Linked DNA regions of Alligator mississippiensis. The protein of the gene in region 2 purifies or fractionates together with the protein of the main gene of each other region. This does not show direct contact. Links are inferred from orthologs where the notes say so. Each region holds a gene or a part of one and is shown on either strand. Other genes may lie near its edges. The genes, in order: EIF4B, EIF3F and PRRC2B.

What was found.
Region 1: the proteins of EIF3F (region 2) and EIF4B purify together in Homo sapiens (affinity purification with mass spectrometry; 3 studies listed by BioGRID). This does not show direct contact. The link is inferred for Alligator mississippiensis from reciprocal best matches to the Homo sapiens genes EIF3F and EIF4B.
Region 3: the proteins of EIF3F (region 2) and PRRC2B purify together in Homo sapiens (affinity purification with mass spectrometry; 3 studies listed by BioGRID and IntAct, counting the BioPlex papers as one, with this or other methods). This does not show direct contact. The link is inferred for Alligator mississippiensis from reciprocal best matches to the Homo sapiens genes EIF3F and PRRC2B.

What each region holds. Positions count from the first base shown.
Region 1 is NC_081838.1:9,388,714-9,398,432, forward strand, and holds the start of EIF4B (eukaryotic translation initiation factor 4B), read right to left. Parts: upstream 4,669-9,719; 5' UTR 4,602-4,668; coding exon of another isoform or gene 4,589-4,601; intron 1,868-4,588; exon of another isoform or gene 1,851-1,867; 5' UTR 1,763-1,850; intron 1,097-1,762; 5' UTR 1,081-1,096; coding exon 1,062-1,080; intron 1-1,061. UniProt on the Homo sapiens protein: Required for the binding of mRNA to ribosomes. Functions in close association with EIF4-F and EIF4-A. Binds near the 5'-terminal cap of mRNA in presence of EIF-4F and ATP.
Region 2 is NC_081829.1:25,033,157-25,043,036, reverse strand, and holds the start of EIF3F (eukaryotic translation initiation factor 3 subunit F), read right to left. Parts: upstream 3,914-9,880; 5' UTR 3,899-3,913; coding exon 3,586-3,898; intron 3,492-3,585; coding exon 3,421-3,491; intron 2,114-3,420; coding exon 2,034-2,113; intron 1-2,033. UniProt on the Homo sapiens protein: Component of the eukaryotic translation initiation factor 3 (eIF-3) complex, which is required for several steps in the initiation of protein synthesis.
Region 3 is NC_081835.1:59,687,785-59,698,098, reverse strand, and holds the start of PRRC2B (protein PRRC2B), read right to left. Parts: upstream 4,118-10,314; 5' UTR 3,967-4,117; intron 1-3,966.

The DNA.
Region 1 (9,719 bases), on a different chromosome or scaffold from region 2:
ACAGCCCTACCCCATGGGAAGTCCCTGCGGTGGTGTTGTCCAAATCTAATTTATGTTCCCAGAAACCTTCCTTTTTATTTTTGGCAAAGCAGAAGCCAAGCTGTCCAGCTCTGAGCTGTCAGTACTGAACCCCATGAACCAAAGGAGACCTATCAATGGCTTCTCTGCAAGTGCCTGAGGGAGGACTTCACGCGTCAGGCCTGGAGACAACATTTTGCAGCCTGGCAGAGGGAGATATGGGTGTTTTAGTTGTTGCATTATCTGTGACCTGTATATCAGGGCCAATTGTTTATGCCCACACCCACCCTGCTGTCATCTGTGCCCTCGAATACAGGCTCCTATTGTGGGCAGGTCTCACAGATTACCACCAAACAGCGGACAGGACAACACATGGGCTGTACACTCCTTCTGCCAGATCTCACTTGGAGTCCTAACACTATCTGGACAGGCCAACAAGTTACCCCATCAAGATCAGCCCAACCTATAGGAGCAGCCTTAGGATTCCTGAGAGATGGCTCACAGGAAGTTTTGCTGTAGCACTTCCTCTCTTCTCACAGCTTTCTAGATCACCCATGACTTTCCCAGGATTGGCTAATAAGATGTAGGAGCAAGCTTACTTATGCTTTCAGCACCTTTAAATGCATTTCAAAGACAGTTTTAAAATCACTGCTAGATTGAAGCTACACCCCGTGCCCATTTTTCTTCAGTCCCTCCATCCAGCTCTCCTTAGCAGCATACCTAGCAAGTCCAGCACCATCTCACTCCCCCTTTGAGCACCAGTTCATTCAGTCCCCAGCACAAGTGTCCTTGAAATGGGTTTGAATGCAGAGACCCCTATACACAATCCAGTTAGGAGTGGCAACTGCACTTCAGTGGCAAGGATACCTCCGCTAGTGTCAGCAGCGGAAAGCGAATACTGTCTTTTAAGCTAAATTGCCTTTCACGTGACAGAAGACCTCCGCCTGCAATGCTCTGGCAACTGGAAGGGCAGTTCCTGGAACCAGATGTGTTGAAGTCAGACAGAGGGTTCAAAAGCAGCAACTTCAGTTCAGTATACTTACTTTCCGCAGCTGCCTGCATGGTAACTGGGCAGGTCCTAGACAAAGATACATGACAGTTGTTTGAACCGCTTGTCCTTCCCCCCCTACCCCAGAGTTTAAAGCCAGTAATTAAGTCCAATGATCCTGGGTTTTTACTATCTCAGTCAGTTGCCATGGAAGCAATTGTGAAATCACACATTCAGCACTGCAACTTCATGGCGAGGCTGGGGGGAGAGTGAAGGGGGGGGTGTGTGTGCATCAAATACCTTGAAACACAAGCAGTAAGACCAGAGGTCTGGAAAACAAGAACTGGGAGCCGTACAGTTCTTCCAGCCCCCAAGTTGTGTTCTAGCGGTGGGCTCCAGTGGAGAGGCCACAATTCCCTTGGCCAAGAGGAAAGCAAAGACTCAGTGCTGTTAAGAGCCACATGCCAGGGTATTCACCTGCAGGAAGTTCTCCCAGGGCACTCTGCAAGCCCATTTTACTCCATCATGCAGCAGAGAAGTGGCCAGGACTTCTCAGGAGCCCTTCAATAGCACTCAGGCCATCCAGGTGAGCCCTGTATTGGCAAGAGGCATCTACGGACAGCTCTCGACTATGGGAGTTACAGGACTTGCAGTTGGGCCCTTACACATCTGCACAAGCACTGTTGCTGGAGCAGTTTCAAAGTTCACTTACAATATCAGCTTAAGGCATAAAGAATTTGTAAAAATAACAACCACCTTTATAGTCTGTGCGACTCTGCAACAATTCAGTCCTTTAGATGCTTCTTTCCCCTCCAAACTGTATAGGCAGAATCTTCCTATTGCACTGAAAAAAGAAAAACCAAGCATCTTTCCTGCCTTGCTGCTACCTTCCCAGTTCCTGCAACACATTAGCATGGCAAGCATTGCTAAGAAGTCTTGCTGGTTGCATGAATGAAGCTAAAAATAAATCAGACTGAAATGTCCAACCTGGGGCAAGATTCAGGAGTTTTCAGCGGATGCATTAGCTGCTTCAGTCGCAGAACATTAAGGAAGTCGCATAGAAGCCACATGCTGCCCCCACTCTGCAGCTTTGGAGGCTTCCAGAAAAAAAACATCCCAGGTTCTTAAGAGCTGGCTTAAGGTGAAGGAGAAAAACTGCAATGGTCTCAAGTGCCTCCCCTTCCTGCAAAAGGCTCTGGGGAGCAGCAGTTCCACCAATCCAGGATGCCATGGGGAAGCCTCTGCTGAAGAAATACAAACAGGGGCTGCAAGAGCTTTTTTTTAGAAAGGTGCATCTCTCGGGGAATCTAGGCACCGGTAAAGCGCTGCAGCCTCCAAGAGCTGGGAAGGAAGAGCAGGCTAGCCCTCTGGAATGGTTAAAGTTCAGTTTGCCAAGGGTAAACTCATGGAAATATGACGTCAGCAGTGGATAAAAACTGGCTGATCAGCAGCAGTGACCTACTGCAGTGCCTGCCTTGAGAAAGGAAGCTGAAGAACCCTCCTGCTGCAGGCAAGTGCAGCTGGAAAAGAGAAGCTAAAAGGTGCGTTCCACGCTCAGACACCCCCTCCTTCCCACCCAGACCTACGAGTGCCGGAGATGGCTTTCTAAACCCTGGCAAATGGGCTGCTAACTAGCAGCCGCCTTTCCAGAAACCCTGCAGGCTGGCTGTTTGTTCAATTTGCATCAAATGGCTGACAAGTCACAGGCAGGAGAGGAACAGTATGAAGCAACTTCTGTTGCAGGAGGCTGTGCACTGCTTATGCATCACCAAAGCTGTCACAACCTTGTAGGGGCTGGGAGAGACCAAGGCAAGGAAAGGTACTGGACAGAAGCAGCCCTCCTAGGCAGGTGAGGCTTTCTGACAGCCAACATCCTCTTTGCTCCTATCAAGGAGGCAGCCATCTCTCAACCACTCCCCATTTATCTTGTGAGGGCCAAGCCCTTCCAGGATGTTTCCTTAACATCTACGCTTAAGGATAAAGGAGATGGGTCAAATGAAATCCTCCTTGGACTTCCCCCACTGTTATCTCCAACAACCATACCTCCTTGACACTGCCATTCCCGCCGAGATGTAGAGGCACTTGCTACGAGCACCCTGCATTTCCAAAAACATAGGGCTGTTTTTATCAGTGCTCATTCAGGAATTACTGAGCAACTTGACCCAAGTAGGAATAAAACCTAATGCTCATCTTTCACTATAGCAATGGAAAAGCTAGCAACATATTTTTTACTCACCCCATGAAGTTTTCCCAAGCAAGCCTGAGAATAATATTCCGGGTTCAGCTAGACCCATATGACAGTACTCGTACAATATACTAAGCCCATGGCTTTTGGGCCCCGAGAGCTTTTTTTCTCTCTCTCTCTCTCTCCTTTCCCTCTTGATCTTTAGCTAATGGCTGGGTTTGGCTTCAGCTTCTGCTCTGACGGTCCCACCAATGCACACGCACACTGTGATCAGCTATAAACACGCCTGTGCAGGCACCAAGGGAAAAGGGAGGTGCATCTCCTGCCTCTGCTGTTAGCTAGGAAATATGGGACTCTACAGTTCCGCTGGCAGCACGAACTCCAGATGACGCCTGTGAACTGAAGGGTGTTTTAGTGCCGGCAAATCGCACTTTGGATCCACGCGCCCGGATATTGCCGTCACATAGCGAGAGCAATGTTTCTGCAGTAAAAACGTCGTGCGCTTTGGCCAGAAAGGGAAAGAGCGCTAGCAGCAGTTGAGGGAAGGAAGAGAACGGCCCTATCCGTTGCACTGATGCCTCGACTCCCCCCCCCCCCGCCCCCAGCGTCATTCCCCTGCGCCGGTTCCACCTTGCGCACAAGAAACACAATGCAAAGCACGCGTGCTCTGCCACTTCTCTTCGGGGCGCCGAATGAAATGACATCAGGGGAGCCTTATGCAGCGGGAAACTGCAATTGGGGGGGGGGGAGGGATACAAGAGAGTTTCTTCTTCTTCCAAAAAAATATAAAAATAAGAGGGGCTCAGACGAGGTAGCTGCAGCGTGACCCCGACACCTTCGTAGACCCCGCGCTTCGCAGTGCAAACTCAGTGCCAGGAAGCGTGAAAGCCGATGGTGCGTAGGAGATCGTGGGACAAAGATGCGACTGGCTATTTTGGCCGACTCCAGGCTCTCCCAGCCCTGAGGGACCTTTTCAAGGGGTTGGGGTTTTTTTTGGATAACCCCCGCAGACCTCCCAGCATGGGGCAGGGGGGACGGGAGGCCCCGAGACCAAGGAGGACCGGTGGGGGGGTGCACATGGGGGGGGGTGGTCCGGGGTGCCACGAGGCCAGGCCACGCGGGGGGGGGCGGGGCCCGGCCGCGCCCACGTGGGCGCCGCTCCTCCACCGCCCCCTCCCCCTCCCGCGCCTGCGCAGTGCGCGCCCAAGGGTTCCGCCCCCCCTCCCCCCCGTCAATCACCGGCCGCGGCGCCAGCCCAAACCGTTCCGGGAGAAGGGGATGCGGCCCCGAGGGTGTGTGGGGGGGAAGGGGGGCCGCGGGGCTGGGCCCCCCCCGGGCGCGGGGCCGGTAGGGCGGCGGGCGCGGGCCTTGGGCCGCGGCGGCCGAGCCGCACTCACCTGACGCCGCCATGTTGGGCCGAGGCAGAGAAGGCAAAGGACCCGGATGCGGCCGTCACGTGACTATAGCGGCGCGCCCGCCCGCCCGCGGGGCGGGGCCTCGGCTCGGCTCGGCGCGGCGGCTCTGTGGGGCGCGGCAGGCGGGCGGCGCTGCGCGCTGCGGGCGGGCAGCAAAGAGGCAGGGAGGGCGCGGGGTTCGGCTTGGCGTCGCCGCCCGCGCCGGGTTCTCTGCCTCCCCCCCCCTCCCCTGGCATCTTGGGAGAGGGGGCAGCTAATTGCACCAGAGGGCAGTTATTGGGGATGACTGGGGGCAGTACTGCAGTTTGGAGGGGGCCTGTGATTGGGGGCAGTAGAGCAGCTGGGGCAGTTTTGGGGGGGAGAGGGCTATGGGGGCAGTAGAGCAGCCAGGAGCAGTTTGGGGATGGGAGGGGTATGATTGGGGGCAGTAGAGCAGCCAGGGGCAGTTTAGGGGGGGAAGGGGGCAGCTGGAGCCCAGGGCGCTGCAGCCAGCTCTGGGGTGGGGGCTGCCGGACCCTGGGCTCACTGCACCAGTGCAACCAGTCCGGTCACACTGGACCGCTACAGTCGTGCCCCTGCCCGCTGTGGCTTTCCTGGGCCAGCGGAGGTGGCGGGGCAGGGATTCAGCTTTGCCAGCCCCGCGTTCCCCGTCCGAGCGTGCCGCATCGCTGTGGCACGGTCAGGCCGACCTACGTATCTTGGCTCGCTGACGCCGTGTTGGCCCGTGGCGCCGCGCGGGGTGCAGCGTGGAGCTCCTGGCACTGCGGAGGAGGCACATTCGCCTGCTTTTGCCCGGCCGTTTAGGACGGGAAGCGAAGGGTCATCCCCCGGGGGCAAGGCTAATGCTTCCCCAAGGCACCGGGAGTCTTCCCACAGCCCCTGATGGCCGGCAGAATGGGATCGGCTGCCAGGGGACGTGACAGTTTTTTACCCCTCGTCCGAAAAGCAGCCCCGGCTGCAGCACGACTCCTGCCCTGCCCCTGGCACCGCACTGGGGCTTCAGGGGCAGAGCCGCACGGTGCTGGGGTGACGCTTCACAGCTGGCTTGGAAGCAAATTTGGCCCCCTCTGTGGTGTGCAGCTCTCCACCTTCCTACGGGCCCAGCCAGCCCTGCTTAGCTCATGGCTGGACCATGACAGCCCAAAATGAGGGCTTTCGATGCCAGCAGGGAGTGGGCCCGCTGTTCCCGAGCATCCGTGAGATGCCCAACCCCGTTTTTTATTTATGAGCAAGAGTCTCCAAAGGCCCCACTTCTCCAGACTGTGCTTACTATTACTGCTGGCAACACAAGCTTGACTCTTCTCGTGCACCCATTATTACGAATGGGGAAACTGAGGCAGGGCGATGTGTAATTGCCTTGAGACTACACGGGACTAGAACCCAGGCGTCCCGGCCTCCCCGATCCCTCCCATCCCAAGGAAGCCTGTCTCTTGGATTCGGCCCCCCTTACCTATGCAGAGGTGAGAGGGAAGCCACGTAATCCTTGCTTCCCTGGTCCCCGGTTTCTGGCCGGGTCCCCCATGCCCGGGCGCCGTCCGGTTTTTGCTAAGGGACAGCCCCATCTCGGCCCAACCGCTGCAGAACGCTGCACGCCGCCGGGTTCTCGCCATCTGCCTTAAAGGAGCTGGCAATGTCCAAGACCCCCGTCCTCTTTTGAAAGAAATAACCTCTATCAGCCCCTTTTCTGGCTGCAGATTTATCCCGAACAAACTGGGATGCAATAAGGGGTGATCACACGTCAATTGAAGGAGGGAGACGGGACAGGGCTGTTCTGCGTTCTGTTCGCAGCGACTCCCTTCTTGGTTTTGGGCCAGACTTGCTGTAAAATGGGGTTAAGAACAAAGTTAATGATGATAAATGGGCTAGGATGCACACTGAAATACTTCGAGATGATGATACAGTGTACGTAGGTGGAAAATATTAATGAAGAAGTGTTATTTTCTGTCCCAAATGCCATAATCCCATAATCCAGCAGATTAAATGAGGCTGGTGTTTTCTATAGGGATGATCTTCCAGGCACGGGCGAGGACTGGGAATAGGGAAGGAACATTTGCCTATGCTATGCTCTTGTCCATATATGCCATGAATGCTATGACATTCATGGCATATATGGACAAGTATGAAAGCAATTGGGAGGCAAGAGGGTGTAGCAGTTAGGGCACTGCCCTGGGGGCATCGAGACATGAATGACTCCCTCGCTCCAGTGTTGCCCCAACCCCTGCCTGTCTGGTCTGTTTACATTCCCAGCTCTTTGACATCTCACCGCGTTCACAAAGTGCCCATCACTGTTACTGGGATATGCATCATCATATGTGATATCTTCCTCTAGGGCGCCGGTTGTCAACCTTGTTAGACTCATGCCACCCCTCATTAGACTCAAGGCACCCCTCCGAGGATGGCAGCTCTGGTTCTCACTCGCTTTTTGGCTACAAAAAAAAAAAGCAATTCTTCCATTGCAAAGAACAGAGAGACTACAACAGGTTTTAATGCTATGAATTCCCATTTTAAATTTCTGGGTTCATCTTATGAATCACGTTTGAACATCTAACACTGCATGGCACCCCGCAGCACCCTTGAAAGGATCTGAAGACACCCTGGTTGAGAATCACTGTTTTAGGCCATGGAAAGGGAGCCTGTTGTGCTGATGCTGCCTGACTGGTGCATCGGAGACAGCCTGGACAGCCCTTTCGTATACCCCCCGGGGACCTGTGGATGGAGGAGGACAGACAGCCATAGGAGAATACCTCCAACTACTCACTAGTCACTATGGGTAGGGACAACATTATTTTTTTGGTAAAAATATGTGTCTTGTATATAATAAAGGTTTTATATCTATCTATCTATCTATCTATCTATCTACATACACACACACACCTTCTAGTCACTGATCATTGTCTCCTTAACCCACCATAGGTACCGCGCAACCATTACAATATACTGCACCCATAGGATAGTGCTCCCGTACACCCGACTGCAAGGCATCTTCTCTCTTAAACCCTTGTCTCTTAGTCCTGTCCCTGAATACAGGGTTTAAAACTCAGTTCACTCGCTGTTGCTTCTGCTGGAGGACCTGCTGCTGCTGTCACTGCTGCTGCCCTCATTGCTATCTTCTGATCCTGTTGTCTTGATGTCCTCTTCTCTGTCACTGTCTGTTTTCCCACTGGGGAGGTCTTGAAAGATCCTATGCCGAGTGTCCCTCTGCCAGGCGGATTTGGCTATGTCTTCTGCTACCAATTTCTGGTAGTAGGACTGAAGTTTGCTCAAAGCCATTTTAACGCAGTCTACCACTTCGAGGTTTGTGTGTCTGTACATCAGGATGTTCCTGCATTTCCACAGGGCGCTCCTGACGCAGGACACAAACTGATCGAAGCGGGCTGATGGGCGCCCTTGGTGTTTAGTTAGGTGTCGGTACAGTGCCACCTCTCTTGACAGCTGTCCAACCAGTCACTGCTTCACAGAGCTGCTTCTACACCTCCTTGGTGTACGAGCAGAGCCATAGGAGGTGGTCGATAGGCTAGGAACAGAATTTACATATAAGCTGGTATAGAGGATTGGAAACTGGTTCAAATCTGTAACACAACAGAAGTTCATGCACATAAGCCGCTTTCAGAAATGGCTGAAACTGGTTTAAACCTGCATGGATGTGGTATCAGACTTAACCGATTTTCGTTAAATCAGTTTATTGAACTTCTGTCCCAGATCCCCTCCAATTCAAGTTAATTCATGGTCCCCCAGCATCCCAGGATGCTTTGCACCTCCTGCATAAACCCCACCTCACAATGTGGATGGGCTTGGCCCAAGCTGTCTGCTCAAACTGAGCAGGGAGGGATGCTTTAGTGCCCCCCACCCTGCTTCTGGCCTAGGCCACTGCAGGCATGTGGCTGCATTTCTGGAATCAACAGTGCATGTCTGTTCACTTGCTTCTTGGTTCAATCTACGCAGCTTAGACTAACCCGCAAAGATTGAATTGATTCAGCCTCAGGCTTTTTGACTGTCTGCACTGTATCAGTCCCTGTGCTTCTTCCAGGGAGCTGCCCTATTCACTCAGTGTTCCTGCCACGAGATGGCAGCATCACATGGAGGAGGCAGGGTAGACTTGCACCTTACAGACTAATCAAAGTAGGTATTACCTATATAGTGCCAGTTTTCATGAGCCCAGGCTCACCTCATCAGATGCTGTGACAGGACAGGCATTGTGCAGGGTAGCAAATGGAGACAGTGATTTGAACACAAAAGACAGGGAGGGAGGGAGAGGGGGCAGTGCTGGGAGAGACAAGCAGTAAACCCCAGGTAACAAGGGGGTCACAAAAGCTAACCCAGGTCATGGGATAGGAAGTCTCTGTTTAAAGCACACTTAACCGGTCCAGTCTGGGGCGAGTTCTCATTCCCCAATTTCCCATTCAAATTGGTTTTTAAAGGTTTGCTACCTAAAAGCAGCCATGCTCAGGTCAGCAATAGGGTGTCCAAGGTGGTTGAAGGGTCTGCCATGGGTCTGCTTGGACTCACGAAAATTTGTGCAGACTTCAGTCAGTCTATAACAAGGGCAGGGGTGGATCCAGGGGGGCTGCACTGATGCATTTGCATTCCCCCCCTACCCTGTTTGATCTCTGCTCCAACCAAGGCTTGGTCTGTCTGGCAGTGGCAGCAGCATTTCCAGTCAAGCGGTGCTCAGAGAGTCAACCGATTTCATGGTGCATTGTCATCTCCCTGATCCACAGGTCTTAACAACCCTCACTTCTTTATAATGGTCTTGATCTTCCACCAGTCATGCTGTTCTTGCAATCCCGCTTTCTGTGGCTGCTTCTGGTTATGAAGCTCCTATTTCCCAGCCCTGCAGGTTGTTCTGAACTCATTCCAATGAAGTTCAATTTGTTTTTGCTTCCATCTTAAACTGAATAATGCAGCCCCGGGCCCCCTGCCTATTGGCAAAACTTCTAGTTTATTTTTAACTGGAGAAAAACAAGTGATGTTTTATATGTGAAGATGCACCTCACCGTCTGCACCCTCCTTCTCAAAAGTCTAGATCCACCCATGAACAGGGGTGCCAAACATATGGCCTGGGGCCTGGATCTGGCCCATGAGGCATGGCCCCTGGTGCTACCCCTTTTGCTGA
Region 2 (9,880 bases):
ACATGACAATCTCATCTTAAATCTCTTTGTTTAAGCCAGACTATTACAGATGTCCATGTCATTCCTCTGGCAAACCTGCCCAGATACTATACGTATATCTTGCCACTTATCTACTGACGCAGTGGTTTCAAATCACTAGCACCATGTCCTAAACCAGGGGCAGGCAATTATTTTGGGCGGAGGGCCACTTACCCAGTTTTGGCAGGCTGTTGAGGGCTGCATAGGTAGGCCCGCCCCTTGACAGGTGCCCCAGCCCCTGGTCACCATCTTAGGACCAATGCCCCTATGTCTTGGGACCAATGTCCCAGGGCCAGCAGCAGCGGGGCCCAAAGCAGGGCACAGGCTGGCAGGGGTCTGTGGAGCTGAACTGGGCTGCACCAGCAGGGAGAAGGGAAAACTGTCCTGGCTCCATAGAGCCCCTGCTGGCTGGGGCCCCACGCTCCTGACACCCTGCTCTGGGCCCTGCGTTCCTGCTGGCTCCCACACCCGCTCACTCTCAGTGCCCCTCAGTACAGGTGGGGGGCAGCACAAAGCTCTGACCCCCTGCTTGCTGGCAGGGAAGAAGCTGGTGATGAGTGCAGGGAAAAGCAGCCCCTCGCCCGCCCCATGGCTGGCACTCCCTGCTGCAGGTGCTCGCAGCCCACGTGGGGCTGTCTGGAGCAGACACAGGCAGCCCCACATGGGCTGCAAGCAGTTACAGCATGGAGCGCTGGCTACGGGGCAAGTGAGGGGCCGCTTTTCCCCCCGCACTCAGCACCAGCTTGTAACCCAGCCCCGCTGCCAGCCTGGGCTCTGCGCCGGCTCTGGACTTGCCTGTTGGCAGCTGCAGCCTCCCTGCTGGCCACGCCAGGCAGTGTTGGCTGCTATTGCCCGCCTGGGCACACACTGAGCAGCCCACAGGCGGCGGTGGCAAACACTGGCTGGCGTGGCAAGCAGGGGGGGCCACAGCTGACATCACCACACGTAGCCCCGATGGGTGAGCCCAGAGCCGGCGTGGGACCCAGGCTGGCAGTGGGGCTGGATTACAAGGAGGTGCTGAGCGTGAAGGGAAGCAGCCCCTTACCCACCCTGTAGCTGGCGCTCGCAGCCTGCGGGGCTGTCCGGGGCAGGCACAGGCAGCCCCAAGCGGGCTGGGAGTAGCTGCAGCGCAGGGCACCAGCCATGGGGTGGAGGAGGAGCCACTCATTTCCCTCCTCCCCAGCACAGCTTTTCCCCAGGCTCCTTGCCTGCCCCCCCCTCCCCTCCCTTACCTGAGATTCCAGCACCACGGGGGCAACCATGTGGTCCCAGGCCAGAAGCCCCAACTGGGGCTTCCAGCTCAGGGGGTGGGGCTGAGCTGACCCTGCTGTTGTGAGAGCCCACCAGGCTTCCCCTGGGTCCTACTGCACTTGGTTCCTGTCATTTTTGGCAAGAACCAAGGGCAGATAAATATTAATTTTCTAAATTTTTTAGGGGCCCCACGGGCCGGATAGAATGGCCTCACAGGCTGCATCCGGCTCACGGGCCATATTTTGCCCACCCCTATCCTAAACACAGACCCCTAAACACACACCCATCCTTTCTTACACAGACAACAATGTCAAAGATGTACTTCATTCTCTCCCTTCAGCAGGCTTAGGCAAGAGGTCTAAGAACTTTCCACCATGGGGAAAGGAAAGTTTTATTACCATTCATATACAGCCAGAAAACCAACTTCTTCAAAACACTACAATAGTAATTAGAATACTATACCAACTACATTTCCTGAAAAAGTAACTGAAAAAAAGTTATTTCACACTCAAAATTTAATACATGTTAACAATATTTGCTTTTAAGCTAACAGCTAGCACTTCTGCAACCAGCTAACCAGCAAATTGGCTTTTGTTTCAAGAAGTTTAATAGGTTTGTGCAGCAGCTATGCTACACTGAATGCAGATTTTTGTCTGAAGCTTTAAGCTAAGGAGTCCTGAACTTGACTAGTATTGGGATGGGTGACCACTTTGGAACCCCAGATACCAGAGACACAAGCAAGAGAGTACAGGATGACCACTTACCACCCCAAGATGATTTCACTGGGAGAAACCTTCTTGTGCAGCTCGTACATATTCTTGGCAAACTCCATATCAACTGCAACCTAAAAAAGAGCAAAAAGCATGAAGCTGCCAGCTGCAGGAGCACTTCCATTTGAGCAAAGAGCAACGAAGGCAGCTTAATGGAGGTGGAAGGGATGACGATAACAGCCACACCTCACAGAAGAGTCCCATCTCTTGGTATTTACCAGACCAGACCTAGTAGAGCAAATACTGTGGTGCAGTGATCAAACTAAGGGACAGACTTGCCACCAGGGCCTGTTAATGCAACTCTACATCACCACTGGGCACTCCCCAGCCTGCTCAGGAGTCCAAATGCTCCAGGTGCATGCACAGATGGGGGACAGGGCAGAGTCAGGACCCCCACAACAGAGAGAACAGCATGTTCCAAAGTAGCACTCCCAGCAGAGATACACCAGTACACTGGTCCATATTGTAGTTTGGCTGGTAAGTTGCTGGGGGGAGGAGGTGGGTGCATGCGCAAATCAAGGCCCCTGCGGTGAGGTGGGGAGTGGGGCTGGGGCAGGCACTACCCAGAACAGGCAGGGTGCGGGACAGAGCTGCAAACGGCTCTTCCAAGGAAGGTGGGGAGCGGCTCATCACAGTGCGCACCCCTGGGGGGAGGCATGGGGACATGAGCCCCCCTTATTTGTGCACAGGGTGAGTGGGCTGCTGCTGCAGGCTGGACCCAGGGGTGGTGCTGGATTCTTCCCGGTGGGGGTTGGGGAGTTATGGGGTAGCTATGGCAAATTCCAGCGTGGTCACAACCCACCCCAAACTCCCTCTCCCAGTGCTGTGGTCACCCACCCCACCCCTGCCTGCCCCAAGAGCAGCTCCAGCCCAACTCCCTGTGTTGGGAAGAGCCCAGCACTGCCCCTGGCCCCAGCCTGTGCTCACCTCGCACCCCCTGGCTCTGTCCTGCACTCCACCTTGGCTGGGCAGTGCCTGCCCCAGCCTCAGCCCCACTCCCTCCCTTACCGTGGGGGGCCTTGATCTGCACCCCCCCCATGCCCCTTCCCCCCAACAGACTTACCAGCCAGACACTGCTCTCCAGGCTACCAGAGAGCATACCAGCAATTGGATCGGTAGCAGCGATACAGCTTGTTAACAATCAGCCATCTGTATTAGCCCATAAAGCCCCTAGGTGCCAGCTGCCTTCCCCTACTCCCAGCCACGGCAACCAAGTACTTTGCACCAGGGGTAACTAGCACCTTCTCCAGAGCTCTCCGGGGTGTCCTGGGGCACCTCTGCTCCCGGCCCTGTCCCACCACAGCTCTGCGGCAGGGCTGGGGGCTCATGCAGCTGAGCTGGACCAGGGAGCCGGGAGCTGGAGTCCTGGACCCAGACCTACCTCATCCTCGGACTCGTTGTGGGGGACGGAGAAGCAGTTGGTGACCTCCACGGAGTGTTTGTCCACCATGCCTGCAAGGCAGAGAGCGGGGTGAGGGGGGCGGGGCGGAGCGGGGCAGGCCCCCGGCGGGGGCGAGGACGCGGGGCCGGGCCGGCGGGCTCTTACCCAGCAGGGTGCCGATGACCCGGGCCGCGCCCTCGTTGCGCCGCTCGAAGCTGTCCACGATGGAGGCGAGCACGACTGGGTGCAGCCGGACCACGCGGCCGCCGGGGAAGGGGCCGCCCAGCACCGCTGACAGCGGGGGCGGGGGCGGAGCGGGCGGCACGGCTACCGGGGCCGCCGCCGTCGGGGCGGCGCCTCCTGCTGGCGTCGCTACTGCCGGGGCGGGCGCCGGGGCTGATGGGACGGGCGCCGGGGCCGCGGCCGGGACAGGCGCTAGCGCCGTAGCCGGATCTGCCGCCGGAGCTACCGCCGCCATTTTGCAGAGAGGGGTGGGCAGTACCGCGCCGGCGATAACGGGCTCAATCAGACGCCCGTCATTCTATGGTGACTTCTCATTGGGCAGGAGGAGGACGAGTTCCCGCCTACCCCAGCCGCAAACCAACCTCAGGACGGCAGAGGAGGCACGAGACCGTGGATTGGGTCGGTCTGCCACGCTTGTGCCCGCCTTCTCGGCGTCCTAAGCTTTTCGATTGGCTGGTGACTAAACCTATCGCTCGCCCGGCTGTGTCAATGCTCGCTCATTGGCTGCCCGCGGGTTGAGCCGGTGGGGCCTGGGCGCCCGGTGGTTCCAGGGACATACGGCAGGGAAGCTTCGGCCGTCTGCGCAGGCGCGCTAGGCCACGCCTCGGGGGAGCCTGTCACTTGCAGTCCCGGCATCTCCCGGGGAGCAGCAGAGCGAGCCGGTTTCCCGCGCCCCGGCCACTGACCCTGTCACCCACGTAGCCTTTCTTCCTTGCTGCTTGGACAGAGCGGCTCGTAAGCAGCGCCGTTCCGCCCTGTCAGCGAAAGTACTGGGAAGGCTACCTGGCACTAGCAGAGGTACCTTTCCTGAGCGTTGAGCGTGCCCCGTCTGTGCAGCGAGTCAAGGCTCACATACCTCGTGGATGGGGTACGAGTGCAGGTGAAATCTTCTCCTGCCCAAAGACTAAATGGAAACCACTTCTTAGTCACAACTCTGCACCTCCATGGTAACTAACACCAGGCCGTATGAGCGCTTCATGCTCCAAGCTCTGGTGTCCAGCCTCTGATTTTGATAGCGACCCCATTGACCTTTCTATCTTTGTTCTTACATACTTTCTCTTCAACATCTGCTTTCACCATAAGTTATTACACAGACTGCTGTGCTAACTTGCAGTTGGAGTATCATCGCTATATGGTGTTACCTCCCTGTACCATGAACTTATTTCTGGGAGCAAAATCTCCCTATGCTGCATTAGGGTAAAAAAGTACCTTTCATTGCATTGGAAGTAAAATAAATCCCCTTATTTGGATCAATATCCTTACTGGGAATAGTTTTTTTCCTCCAAGGGAGGGAGATGTGGGGGTTAATTGCACAGGACTGTTAATTCCTTCCCCTGCTGCCACTGGTGGGGAGGGGTTTGTTTTGGGGGAGGGGGGGGAAGGGCACGAGTGGGGAGCTGCTGTTTGCTCTGTTACCAGTGGTGAGCAACAATTGCCCACAGCCATCGTCTACACTGGCTGCAGCAGCGAGTGGTGACCTCCTACAGCCACCATGTCAGCAGCGAGGGGAGGGGCAGTAATGACCTACAGAAGCCTGTGGCAGCTTTGGCAGTGGCCAGTCTCAGGGGGCATGTGCCCCCCTGTGTCCCATTTTCTTGAATGTGGTGGGATGAAACAACTATCTTTCCAAGTAGCACAAAACTGACAAGATTCATTTTTTTGCTTTGTTTCATGGTCAGCCATCAATGCTTCTGCTGACTCCTGACTTTCATTCAAGTCAGTCAGCCTACACAGCTAGCCATGGTTAAATCTGGAACGCTATCCAAATGTACATGCAGGGGCTTCTATTGTTTTGCACAAATTAGAGTGAGTTTACACCTTATAGACCAAGTCAGAGGTGCATAACATAAGCTTTCATAAACAGAAGTTCATTTCAAAAGCCATTGCTTATGCTATACATCCCTGATGTAGTTAGTCTATATAGTTCTAATCTACCCTGCCTTTTGCCTGACTCCAGCCTAAATATGGCTAACTACTTTTCTTTCCTATTGTTTTGGCCATTCTAAGCAAAGGGGCTATGATAAGACTAGACCTTCCAGATAGTAGTAACACCCAGCAGTTGACAAGCCTGGCCCTCTTCCACTTATTCTAGTCTTGGTTTCTCAACAGTAGCTGTACAGCTGGGACTAAGCCTGACAGTGCAGGTTCTAGACTTCTCCCAGCCTTCTGGCCTCACTGGTTAAGTTTTTTTATGACCTTTTTGCATGTAGGGGGTTAAACTCACAGGGTGCTTTACGGCACCTACAGTGTGGCCTCCTCTTTTTACAGCTGCTCTTGGTCATCCAGTGTTTGCTAGCTTAAATCCAACAAAACCCATCGCTCCTTCAGGTATTCACAACCAAAATGCACGTGAACTTAAATCCTTATCCTTCCTTGGTCCACTTGGGGGAAAAATATTGAAGAGGAAAAAAACCAAAACAAAGAAAACCTCTTAACCCTTACCCATCAAGGCCCCTTTTACTGTACCTCCAGGTACCACCATAGTCTATTTAGAAGCTTCACTTATTTCCCAGCCAGGATCAGAGTACCCTCTCTAGTCTGAGGACAAGCCTTTTATTCTCCTCCAAGCTTCTCCCTTTCCAGCCAGCCAGACCCATCATCCAGTCTGAGCACAGGGGTTGCTGATTAGTCTCTGCAGCCCTGCCAGCTGCCTGCCTTTTGGCTACAATCCCTTCTTAATTCAGCCCCTGCTCAGGCCAGGTTTAATGGTGATTGCAGGGACCTTGCTTCTTCTCTTTTTTGCTGCTTGCCATCTGGAGTTTTTCTTTGCTGGTCCTTGCAGCTCTTTTCCACCCTTGAGTCTTCATCCCTCTGAATCACAAAAATCCTGTTTTTTGAGGGCCCTTGCCAGTTCTGTTTGCTCCCCAGCTTTCTCATAGTAACAGGGCAAGTGTAATTCTCTCTTACAAGGAAGGGTGCCAGAACTGGGTTTTCAAGGGTGCTATGAGGTGTGAGGAGATAAGCAAGTGTGAAGAGAACAAGTGCACACCCATGCTCATCTCTCCCTGGCCACTTTCCTACCTCCATTCCTCAACCTGCACTATAATAAATAAATTAGTTTTTGAAATGCAATTCACAAAAGTTATGGAGGGTTGCCTCGAGTCAAAGGGGGGGTGACTTGAGTTTAAAAGATTGAAAACTGCTGATCTAGGGTGTGTATCAGCCAAGATTGAAATAACCCATTAATCAACCACACATTTGCCTGAAGCCACTCAACCTCCAGCATAACATTGACTCATTGACTCAAACCAAGGTTAACAAGAAAAAATTAAGCCTTTCCCTGTTTTTGCATGGAACTTTATTGGTCTATTTTAATAATCAACATAGAATAGTACCAACATTCTGCATGGGGATGCTGGACTAATACTACTGTAAAATTCCATTTGTCTCTAAAAACTGAGGTGTTGTATTAATTCCACACCAAATTGACATAAAAATCTATTTTTCCTCAACTTAGGTTAGGTTATGAGGACATAAACACATTTCTGTGAGGTAAGCTAGGGTTAGCTTCCTTGCATTTACCACATAAGAGCGTTCACATTGAGAGTTATTTCAGAATAGTTCACATGCTGCAGGTTCACAGACCAGCTTACCTTGGGGCCTTTGTGTGTCCCTTACCCTTAGAGTTGAATGAGACATTATTAGGTGCTCAAAAAGAGCATGCAAAGGAGTACATATGCTCATTAGTTACTATTTAAATCTAAGCTAAAATAAGAGAGTGGTTTTGAAGGAGAGCTTGTATTAAAAAAAAAGAGAGAGAAATGTATTAATGCTATCACAGTGGGGGAGACAGATACATTTGTCTCGGACAGCTGGAGCCGACCCGAGGTGATTTAGAAATTGCTCGTTCGTCAGGGCGGGCTGGTGAATGGAGAGGCAGACGAGGTTTAATGGTAGCAAAAACCTTCGCTGTGCAAGAGGCTCTCATGTGACAAGAAAATTCCATAGTGCTGAGGCACCAAAATCACTGTGTTGTGACAACATTCACTGAAGTAGAAGAGACTGAATTCTACACATTTCTTTCACATTTACACATTTTAAACATTTCACAAAAAATGAAGCAGGAGGAGGAGTGATAACACACTGAAGAAATGATAGATTTTCAACATTAAAAAAAAACAAGAAGTGGTTCACAGTAATACCTAATCTGTACCTCACTTAGTGCTTTCTTAGCTGGGGACATAATTAGTTGTATTCAGTAATTCAGTGTATGGAATGCTTTTTTATTATGATCTCTGGCATCTTAAGCTTGTAAGTACAGGTTATTGAACTGGCACATGCTGAAAAATCTAACCTTTTAAAAAATATTAATTCCAGTAACAGTTACCTAACCAAATATTTTGGATCCTTCAAGTTTTTTAGAGGGTGTAGGTCTGGATGACTTTTTCATTGTTCAGTGGTATTTGTTTCAGGTCAGTCATAACTGTTAAAAAGTGTAATACTTAGCTGGAAAGGAGCCGCTAGATTCTCAAAAAATAACCCCCCAAAAACCATGGGAATCCACCTTACTAGTTTTTCTGGAAAATGCAGGACAACTCAGGGAATTCCCAGGGACAGTGCATTTTTATATTCAGTCTGAGCACATTCAGTTTTAGCATTGTCTGTGTTCAATGTCCATGTCTATGTTCAGATAGAGTGCTTTATCTCACGTTAAAGGAGTTCACTGCAACCTTAGCTTAGAATTTAATTTTAATAACCCAAAAGGATTAGAAGCATAACTTGAGAAATGGCATGAAAGAAGTAGAACTTAATTCTTCCTAGTAGTGCAAGCAGGTTAGATTAATTTAAACTGTACCTTCTACATTCCTCAAAAAAAAATTACAGTGGCACAGAGGAACAAAGAGCACATATAGCACTATTTGAGCACAATGGCACTAATTATCCAGACATATGTTTTCTGCCATAGAACACATTCCCATTGCTTTTTTATAGTGGCTCAGCCATTTATCTATACAACAATGTATGTCTAGTGCTTAGAATAGAACATGGGTATTAGAACTTAGAGTTCTTTGAAGTTCTGCTGCTAGCTTTAATTGGAGTTATCTCTTCATTTTCCTAATCTGTGAAGGCAATCCTGTTCTGGCTGCTGGGGTTCAATCAGACTAACCTAGCTATCCCTTGTGACCTTGCCTATCCCTGGTGATCCCTTGTGCATGCACTTACAGCTACTGAGCGTGTGCAGGAGGGTACCCACTGATTAGGCAGTATACAGTTGTGGCCACAAATACTTGAGCCTAAACCTTGAAAAAGACAGAAGGCAGGGATTAGGGGTGAATCCAGACAGGGTATAGTGGCATGGCTACACCCATCTTTTGGATGAGACTGTGCTGCTGGAGCCTCTGGTGACTTAAAGTTCCCAAAGCAGGTAAGATCCCCCCTTCCTTTCCCCTTGTGCTCAGCAGCACATCCCCTCCCATTTCCTTCCCCTGCCCCTCCCCTTGCTTGCTGTAGCTACTTTTGGCCTTGTTAGACCTTACGCTATAAGATGAACAAATTTTAATCCACTTAGTGTTGTTCAGCTTTGTGGAGTAGTCACATAGTAGGATGAAAAACCTGCTCTGACTATCCTCACTAGGACTTGCTCACTGCTCCCACCAGGCAGAGTGGGCTCACCACTGTGTCAGTTTAAGCAAGACCAGAATGCTCCAGGAAGCTGCTTTCCTGGGGCTCTCTGGTCTCACTGCAATTGACATAGTGGTTACACACAAGTGGGCCTGCCAGGCTTAAGCCCCAAGGGCCCTGCTCTCAGCATGGAGCTGCCGTGTTGGTTTCAGTGAGATCAGAGAGCTCCAAGACTGCAGACCTGGAGCTTGCTTACTCCGAGTTCTGAGGGACCCGCTCCTTTTCCTCTGAAGCTCAGATGGTGCCTGCTCCCTGCACTACCGCTGGTGGGAGTAGAGGTAGTTTGGGCAACTGGAGGAGACACCGTGGCCACTGAGCGCTCCAGGGAAAAAAGAATCGGGCCCCTGAGAGCTCAGGCGGTGCCCAGCCAGCCAGTAGCCCAGAGAAAAAAGGGTTTGGGCCCCTTGGAGCTCAGTGTATTCTGAGATACTGGAGAACTTCAACTTGGAATAGCTGTGGAAGTGGCCCCACAGAAATGGAACAGGAATAAAATTAGGCAGATTGGAGCTAATCCTGCCCAGGAGTGGTGTAACTCCAAACAGAATGACCAGTGCTTTAAGCCACTTAACGTGCAGCCAGTCCAGGGGTTTAGAGC
Region 3 (10,314 bases), on a different chromosome or scaffold from region 2:
CCGTGGAAGGGGCTCTCCTGGAATAGTTCTACCTGGCCTTTTTTGTGGCCAAGTCAGTTCATTTAAATAGCCAGCCAAACTAGTCTTTCTCGGGAAGAACTATGCAGCTCCCCCCACCAGCCCCAAGTTGTTTCTAGTGGCCACTAACAAGGATCTGAAAGACCTGCTTTCACACTTTTTCCTGTTCCAAATGACAGGCTAGCAATAAGGAGCTGTAAAATTACCAGCCTGAAATGAATCAATGCTACATGAAAAGCAAAATCCACTTTGGAGGTGCAATTAAGTGAAAAACGAGGATCAAGCATAACTTTCATTACTAAACAACAGGGTAAATGGGAAGTTGACCAGTGAGGACCTGGGGTGGGCACAGGGATGTCTCACTCCTGCCAGCCTAAAATCCACCCACCCTGTGCTTCAGATTGAAGACTTCCTAGAAGTTCCTCCTGAGCCCACAACTTCAGCTTGGGCAGTCACAAGAGCCCCGATTACAAGGGGAAACTTCCAGCAGCAAGATGGCTTTGTACTAAGAGCAGCCATCAGCGAGTCTACTATTTATTTCTTATATTGTAATAGCACTGTGAATCTTTCCCCTCCTGGTCCCCAGGTATTTCCAATTGTAGAGTTAAGTACAAGGAAAGCCTTGAGCAGCTCACAAATGCAAACAGGACCCAACAACCTAACTAGGTATTTTTGTAGCCAACAAAAGGCACGGTACTCCGAAACTCAGGTGTATGAAAGGGCCCTAAATGGCATCCTAAAGCAGGGCCCAACACTTGCAGTTCAGAAAGGACAGTCACAAGTTAAGGACCTGCTCCTTACCAAGAGTGATACAAAAATACCAGCACCCCAGACATGGAGATCTTGGAGATTATATTTTATATTGTACCAGTCCTCACAAACACTGCCGCCAGAGAGATCAGGCCCACCGTGATAATCCCTGTAAAACATGGCCTTTAATATTGTCCCAGTCAGGTAAGTCAATGTCTTGATAAGTCTTAAGGCAATCAGGATTCATAGCAGAGATGATCTCTTTTATTAGACCATCAAGATTTTTGCAAAAAAAAAAAAAATCTTTAATTGCAAGCTTTCAGGTACAAACACCCTTCATCAGGCATTGGAGACAAGATTGTAAAAGTTCTCCTGGGTAGAAATGAAAGTTCATATTTCACAGGTGATTTCTAGGAGGATGGCCTTAAATAAATTAGTCACTAAGTATAAGTTTTGCAAAAAAGTTTAATATGAACGGGGCAAATCTCAAGGCAGTCATCTTTAAACAAACAGTCCTCCCTTTCATGACTCAGATTTATTACAACTTTTTTTTTTTTTTTTAATCCTACATTTTCACCGGTTTTTGCAGTCTGCTCTGCTTCAACCAGTTTGGCCGAAAATGTTCTACTTTCAGGCTCTTCTGCACTAGACAAAATGGTGCAATGTTTAATTTGACAACATTGCACATGGAGCGATTGAACTCCAAACAAAAATTTGCTGAGTCAAGGGGAAAAAAAGTGGAGATATTGCTGCTAGACACCAAGTTTGTGAAACTTAAAAAAAGTGTGTGCGAGTGAGTGCGAGTAAAGAAGTGGAGATATTGCTGTTGGATGGAGTTTGTGAAATGCGTGTGCACTAGTGCCCCAAACTACTGATGGGAAATCACAATGGGGCGATTTACAGACAACACAGGAAAGTGTTTTGCATCCCAAAACAAAGATGCACACTCCTATTCTGTACGTCTACACACACACCTATATCTATTGCTCCAATATGTTTTTCTTTTAGTTTAAATGTTGCCCTGAAATTTGGCTAGCATCTCCTGAATCACCACAGACAACCACATGCTCAAAGTGGCTAGGAAATAAAAGGAAACAGACTGGCTTGTCTTCCACGTCCCAGCCAAACTCGGGGCAAACACACAGCAGGGGATGAGAGCTGCATTTGATTTCTTCTTTTTTTTTTTTTTAATTCTTTGCTGTGCCAATCTTCAGCACGCGCTGTTATCCAGCTGAAGACTTTTTTTCAACCCCATAAAAAGAGGCATTTCAGACAGGTCACAAGGAAGACACATTATCAATCATTTCATAACATATTAAGCCAACTGTTGGGGGGGAAGGGAGAGGGGCAGGGATCTCTAAGGCCTCATTGCTGCTGGGAGCACTCACGTGGACCATCAGTGCGGCTCCAAACAAGTTTGCCGGTTCATAGACCCTTGCAGAATTGGGACTATTTTCAATAATCTGTTTCCACAGAAGAAAACATGCAACCACTTAGCCTGAGGGATCAGGTAGAGACCACCCCACGCAACTTCCCTCTTCCCCTCCTCTGGACGATTTTATCCTATGGGCTCTTGGTCCAAAGCAGGATGCTGTGCAATCATAAAGCAAGCGCACATCCATAACAGGCCACGAGCAAGCAGAGCCCCCCAGAAAAAACAGGCCCTGACATGACACCCTGCAACTTTATATTTGGCCAGTCTGTTAGAAGCCAGCAGTGCCAGGCCAGCTCTTGGGAGCAGCAAGTGTCTTTCCTGACCTCTGTAAGAGTGCCTTGCAAGAGGGGGCTACTACTGCAATAAAAGTTTTAAGCTACAACCATCAGCTTCTTAAAAAAAAAAAATCAGTAAAGTGAGCAGCAGCTTTCAGTAAGGTCCGTCAAAGCAAAGGGCCTGCAACAACCTGCAGAGTCAATACCCCTCTCCGGAAAGGATCGCTCTAAGGACCAGGGCTCTCCTGCAGGCCTGTTTTCTCCCCACCCCCTCCAAACCCAGGCAGCATTAAAACAAAAAGGCTCCATTGTAAGCATTGCTCCAGCAAACGCGGATCCTCCCTCGCCATTTCTCTGCCTCGGAGCCAAAACTTTCACGGCAAAATTCAGCGCTCGTGTCTGTGCAAACCTGGCTTCGACCGGGTTTGGGGGAGGCGGCAGCAGCGTGGGGGGAGCGTTTGCCATCGCTGCCCATTACGCCCAGCTCCGCTAAACAAAAAAAAACAACAGCCGCCAACTCTCATCAGATGTGCAGGGGGAAAAAAAACCCCCCAAAACAACAACATGCGTTGCCATCCCAGGACCCGCAGCCTTTCCAGCGCAGGTGACCCCAGCCCAGGGGGTGATGAATTCCTTCCTGGGGCCAAAAATAGCTTAAAAACAAAGCCTGGCTGTATCTACCGAAAAGCATCGGGACCCCAAAACCGCCCCCCGAGCGGCCTCCGAACCGCCTCTCCCCAAGCGCCCCCTCCAAAGGCTTTGTTGAAATGCCCCCATCGCACCCAAAACATCTCCTGCGTGCTGCAGGGAGAAACAACCTGCCCCGGCGGCTTCCCCATCCGCCCCGACCGACTTTAACAATGCCCTCAACAGCCCTGGGCTTCCCGAGCCTGGACTTCTTGTTGCAACGCAGCATTTATTGTTTTGTGGGGGGATGCCCTACAAAAACAATACAGCATTTTGCACGGCGCAGCCCTCCACCCACAGCAGCAAACCCGGGGGCACGGCGCCGGCCTCCCAGGACCTGGGCGCACAACCAAAACAATGGGTCTTGGGGGAAGACGCTCGACACCCGAAGGGTGCAACTCAGCCCCAAAATTTAAAAAAAATACAACCCCCCCCCCAACAAAAAACCCTTGCCTTGCAGGGGTGGAGGGGGGTCAACCCCCTCTGCCCCCCCTCTCCAGCCCCCCTGGCTGCTGGGCTGGGGGGAGCAGAAATGCAGGCTGCCCAGCTGCAGGGAGGAGGTGCCCAAATCTCTTGGGGCGGGGGAGCCCCCAGACTGGTGGCAGCCCCAAAGGGGCTTGCACCCCGGCTCTGCCCCTGGGGGCAGCAACCAGGCAGGGTATGGGGGAGGGGGCGGGCCAAGGCCGGCTCTCTGCAGCCTCGGATTCGGGCTCCATTTTAGAGCCGCCTCGTCCCACCCCCCCCAGCCCCGATCTCCCCCGATAGCCCCCGCCAGCCGCGCGCCCCGGCCCCGATACCCACCTGTGGTGGTGGGGGGGAGCCGGCTGTGCCTGGGGAGCCGAGTCAGGAGGGGCGATGGGGGCTCGGGGCGCAGGATGGCTGCGGATTGCGCGGCGGCGGCGGCGGGAGCCTGGCGAGACGGCTTCTCGCTGCCTGTGTCTGCCCCTCCCCCTCCCCGGGCCGCGCCGCCGCGCAGCGCCCCCTGCAGGGCGCCCGGGGAAGGCGGCGCGCTCGGCTCCTGCGGGGAAGAGGGGATGGGGGTCCCTGCAGCCCTCCTGAAGCGGGGGGGATGCAGCTGGGCGTGCAGAACAAGGAGCCATAAAGGGCTCCAGCTGCAGCAAAGGAGGTTTAGGTTGGATGCTAAGGACAACTTTCTGGCTAGGAAGGTGGGGAAGCGCTGGGACAGTGTCCCCAGGCAGGGGTGGGCTCTCCATGCATAGGGGGTTTGAAGAGCCAGGCAGAGGCACTTGGCTGGGATGAGTTGGTTGGGGCTGGTCCTACTTTGAGCAGGGGGTTGGACTGGTGGGTGAATGCCGCGTGCCCCCTGGAGCCGGGGGGCACGGCGGTGGTAGTGGCAGGGCAGGAGGGTGGCTAGAAATCTCTGAAAACCAGAATGTCCTCTATGATGGCCACCCGACGCTGCCCCCTGTCTCCAAGCCCCAGCTCCCAGGGTGTGGGGCAATGGGTGGGTGTATGGGGCAGGGGGAACTCTGCCAGCCTGCAAGGGAAAAGCCACAGTTTCCCATGTGTTTCTCCTCTCAAAGAGAATCCATTTTTAAAGTTTGTTCATACCTCTTTCATATATTCTTGCAACCCACTTTTGGGTCACGACCCACAGGTTGAGAAACACTGGACTAGATGTGACCTCCTGAGGGCCCTTCCCACCCTCCTTTTCTATGAGTCTGTGAGCCCAGGAAATGCAGGTGTGTTTGAGAGACAAAAAGGAAGAGAAAGAGCAAAGAGAAGGAGAGATGGGGGAAGTGCAGAGCTGCTAAATCCCAAGGTCTCAGGGGCTCCCAGAAACTCAGGGGCTTGGGGGCAGCCAGGATAGTCGGGGCACACACACCAGGATTGGCATGGGCATGGCAGCAAAGGGGGCAGCCAGCAGCCTGGAGAGCCAAGCCCCCAGGCCCTTTGCCAGTTTGTTCCCTTTCAAGTCTGGCAGATCTTTTCTCAGTGTGAATGAAGGGAGGGAAATATAATGTGGGGAAACAAGCTGGGACTGGGCAGATCTGCTCAAGGAGCTGCCAAGCGGACATCTGATTTTCCAGTTTCTCATTGCAGGCAGGTAGGGGGTGAGAGTTGAGAAGAAGTTAAGGAAGGGAAAGAGGGAGGAGAGGAGATGCTGACTGACAGAAGCCTTGACCCACAGCCCATTGGAGTCAATAGGGATGCGATCCAGTTTGGTCCTGGAAATGCCTAAAGTAGACTTAGCCAGACTCCGGGCACCTTATATGCCAACTGCAATGCTGTTTAGCTTTTCCCCACAAGCCTCAAAACTCAATAGGCATCCGAGGTCAGGCAACATCTCCGGTTTGGGCTGCTAAGCTCCTTAGGCAAACATACGTGAGCACCTGGGCAGCTCAGAAGTGATCCACCTTTGCCTCCAGGTATCTAACTCTCGCCTGAGCTTTGCAGTGATCCAGCTGGGTGCTGAGGATGCCAAGCTGCATTGCACCCTAGCAATCTTCTCGTTGGCTCCAGCAAGCTTTGAACAGCAGTGTCTCTGAAAGGTTTCTTTCTAAGCATTCACTCCGTTCCCAGTCTAACAAACAGTCGCTGCCCAATGCCTCATCTGAAGGTTTCTGAGGTCTTTATTATCATTTCCTTTCTTGTTTCCAGTTCCCTAACCTTCGCCTGACTTCCAACCCTCTGTCTAGGAGCACCAAAACAAGTCATGAAGGGCGTCAAACATCAAACAACAAGAAAGCCAAGCAGGTTTATTTTCTGCTCGGTGGTGCCCGCGGACAGCGTTTGGAGACAGCGTGCAGACTCAGGCTCTGGGATTATGAAAGGCAGAGGGAGACAGTTCAAGAAGCCAAGGAGATGCAACTGGCTGGGATTTGTTGGAAAGAAGATAGAGCACAAATACCAGGTTTCCTCCCCAGGCTGCCTACCATGCACCAGTGAAAACGCTGTTCCAAATTTGGCTCCCACGGGCTGTTGAATTCACCCCTTTGCTAGGACTACCAGCAAAGAGTCTGAGTAAGGACAGCTATGGTAGGGGTCCTATGACACTGATACCTGCCTGCTAGATCTGGGCTGCGGTGATTAACCTGCTGTTAAATGCAAAGCCTTTTTTTCTCCTGCCATGTCTCTACACTATTTAAAGCCTCACTCATGATCCTCCCTTGGTTTTGTAATCAGGGAGTCCAAAGACAGCCAAAAGGAATTGCCCTTTGGAAGGGTTTCAATCTGAAACCACTATATTTAATTTCTTTTCTCTTAAACGATACATAGAAATGGATGCAGCAGAATACTGGTGACGTCCCTGCCCTGAGAAACTGTATTAGCAGAAGGCATCTAGCCATACAGAGGGAGCAGCTATCCAAAGAAACATGATGCAGGCAGGCGGGAGGTGAGAAGGGTTTGAGTTTAACATGATGTTAACTACATTCTTAATAAGAAATTCACACCAAAAATGCAACTGGAGTATTGGCTCCAAAGCCCAGCTTCTGAACTGCTCAGCGATTAGTGTCTGTGTGTTACACTGCTACCATCAACTTAATGACGTCCAAAGCTTTCTGGACATCCCTTTGGTTAGCTACACCATGAGATTGCCCCTAAATCTACATCTCCTCCTACTTGCAGCCTGCACCATTCTGGACTCCGACAAGTAAAGGAGCAGACCTTAGTGATCATACCATACTAAGGCCCCATTATGAAACCAAAAACTTTGTAACATCAGATGCATCTCCTAGATCCATGGCTTGGCGATTGCTACAAGAGCCACCTGTAACTTGGGGGCTAGGAGGGGCCCATGCAGGCTGCACCCAAAACACACTCAGGTTCAGAAACATGTTGCTTTAATAAGCAGTTCTCCCCCTCAAAGAGAACTCACATTTTTTGCACTGTTCTTCCAAAGTGTTTCAGGGGCTTTGCAGAGAGAATTTCCTATCTCCCTGTAACACCTACTAGTACGGGGCTATGCAGTTCCTTGGCAAGAGGAAAGCAGGCTAAGCATCCTACAAGACCTATGCCAAGCTTTTCCAAAGCAACTGGTGGTCTTGGGCACATTGATTTTTTTGGGTGCTGTGCCCCACCTGAAGCCTGATTTCTGGGAAGAGTGCCCAGCACTTTCAGTGCCTCTGTCTAGATACCCCAAAGCTGAAGAAGTCAAATCACAAGTCACTTGGGGAAATTTTGACCTACTTGAGACATTCAAGATCTCAATTAGAGACTTGAGTGAGAATGTTCCCTTGCTCCTACAGCTTTAACAGCATGGCTAGGAAAACAGAATGATGCATAGTCGATCTCAGGATCCAGCATTTCCTTACCTCCACAATTTTCCCTTTTTCCTGACACCAAGGGAGTGTGGTAGGCTGTTTGGAACGGGGTGAATCTGCTGGGTGCATATCAGCAAGTCAACAACAAACACATCTCTTGCCAACGATCCCAAAAGCAGTATCAGAGCAGCACCTTTGGCCTGCTGAGCCCTTGGTCCAGGAGAGCTGTGTGTACATCCAGATACAAAGAAGAGCCAACACACCAGTAAGTTAAAGAGCTCTTTGCAAAAGCTCAGAAGTGATTTGTTTCATTTGCTTTGACTTGATCATAACATATTGGCTATTCTTCACACTTGGGAAGGATACACCTTCTGTGCTGAAGTTTCTAAATTCTGCCACTTTTGAGCCACATGTCTAGAGAAAACCAGGCTAGGATTTTTTTTCCAAATAGAGAAGAAACACTTTGATCACTCTGAAATAAAGAAAGAGGAGCCTTTGTTGGAGGGCTATCAGCAGGGGCTATTAGAAGGTAGTAGAGCATTCAGTCTCCCGCCCTCCCAATGGTGGACACCGTTATTGGATATGTCCCATAGACTGGGTCTCAGAAGCAGTGGTAGCCACCTGGCAAACAGAAGAGACATCTTGGACCAGGCCACCTGTCTTTCTGCAGGTGGGAGAAATGACTGGTCTAACAGCAGGCTAACACAGGGGAGGAGGGTATGCAAGAGCAGCTTCTTAGCCCATGTGTCACATTCCCACTGCTGGATCTGCAAACCTATCAGAGTTGCCAGGTATCGAGCTACTAAGAAAGTGCAGCAAGAACGACCAGTCTATGTGTCCAATTCTCTCCTTTTCTGGAAGGAAGCTATTCCCCTTCCATCCTACCCAACTCTCGTCTCACTTCTCTTGCTTCTCATTTCTTCCCTCAACAGGACCTCTGGCCAGTCCCTCCATTCCTCATCTTACAGCCGCTCACATGGAACATCATGTCCTCTTCTTAACATCAGCAACTCCCACTCACCCGTTCTCTCTGAGAGATTCAGGGCATTAGTCTGGTGCTTTCTCTCTTCATCAGCCTTCTTCCAGGTCTGGTGAGGAAAACAGCCACACATCTGAACATATATATCTATATCTATATCATTGCTTGGAGAGCTTCATCCTGCCCATCACAAGTACAGAATATTACATGCATATCAACATGCCAGGGAGCTCAGGATAATGCTCTACTGCAGTAATGACAGTGCTGCCACATGGTTGCTTCTACCTAGCTAGGAGCAACCTGCTGCACCCCTCTTAACACCATGAGATTGCCCCTAAATCCACATCTCCTCCTACTTGCAGCCTGCGCCATTCTGGACTCCGACAAGTAAAGGAGCAGACCTTAGCGATCATACCATACTAAGGCTCCATTATGAAACCAGAAACTTGATAACATCAGATGCAGCTGCCCCCCCACTTCTAGACCCATGGCTTGGTGATTGCAACAGGAGCCACCTGTAACACAGGGCTTAGGAGGGGCTCATGCAGGCTGCACCAAACACACTCAGGTTCACAAACACGTTGCTTTAATAAGCAGTTCTCCAAAGTTTCTCTGTGCATCTCCAAGGAAACATTCCAAGGCCAGGGAATTTAAGTGCCAATTAAAAGAAGCCCCAGCGCCGAGTGCACGGAGGTGAAATAAACAAGCAAAAGATAATAGCACATCCACCGATGACATGCAGATCCTTCAGCCACAGCACTCAAACCCATTGCTCATCCATCTGTTCCCAGCATACAGCACTCAAACATGTCACAGACACCCCTGCAACAGCGTGGGTAGCTTGTGGGATAGAAACAGGTTGTACAGTAAGCAGACCAAGACAGGGCCATTTCCCAAGCTGCTCCTGATCAGCAGGAAGGTATCTGTTGCCGTATAATTACCAGGACCGACACGAGCCCTGCTGCTAGTGAGATCAACTCCATAGACCCCGGTGAACTCTCCACTCGCTCAGTTCATTGCTGTTTGGCCTTGCACCCCAATTTCCAGGACCCTCTTAAGATTTCAGTATTACTGACTGCCGCTTTATTCAGAACCAGGCACCGTCAGAATGGTGAAAATGTCTACTGTCACCCCTAGTTTCATGGGCAGCTTGTTTTTTAATTAAAATATATCTATATCTATATAGTTATATATATGCATCCTCTATCATAGACTTCCATCACACTTTTTTTTAAAACCACCTTAAGAAACCCACACACCCGTTACAATAACCGCGCCCGCTCCCCTGCACCCACGTGCACCCACCCTCTACCCTTCCCTAACACAAACATAGTCCCTTAGTCCAAGCCGTGATTTGGGGTTTCCCTTCTCAGTTTATTCTGTCCTTGTCACTGTCGATGTTGCTGTCTCTTCCTCTGCTGCTGATCTTGTTGTCCTCCTTGCTGTCTCCAGGTCCAGTTGTGCTGTTGTCCCCTTCGTTCTCCCTGTCCACTTCCCTTCCTGGGGGGACTTGGAACAGCCTGTGCCACATGTCCCTTTTCCAAGCGGAGCTCTTATCCTCTCCATCCTCTCCCACTGCTTTCCGGTAGTAGGACTAGAGTTCACTCAGAAACATTTTAACGCAGTCTGTCTGCTCAAGCTTAGTGTGACTGTCCATCAGGGGTTCCTGTACTGCCACAGGGTGCTCCCGATGCAGGACACAAACTGGTCAAAGCGGGTCGTCTGGGACCCCTGATGTTTCATCAGGTGTCCGTACAGCGCCGCCTCCCTTGTTATCAGCCTGACTCCTGTCGCTTCCTCAAGGAGACGACTTACCTTTTTCCACACTCCCTTGGCATAGGGGCAGAGTCAAAAGAGGTGGTCAATGGTCTTGCTCTCATCTTGGCAGCTTGCCCTGAGACAGCTGGGTCTCGACTCTCATCTTGCCTCCACGCCTTCACTGGG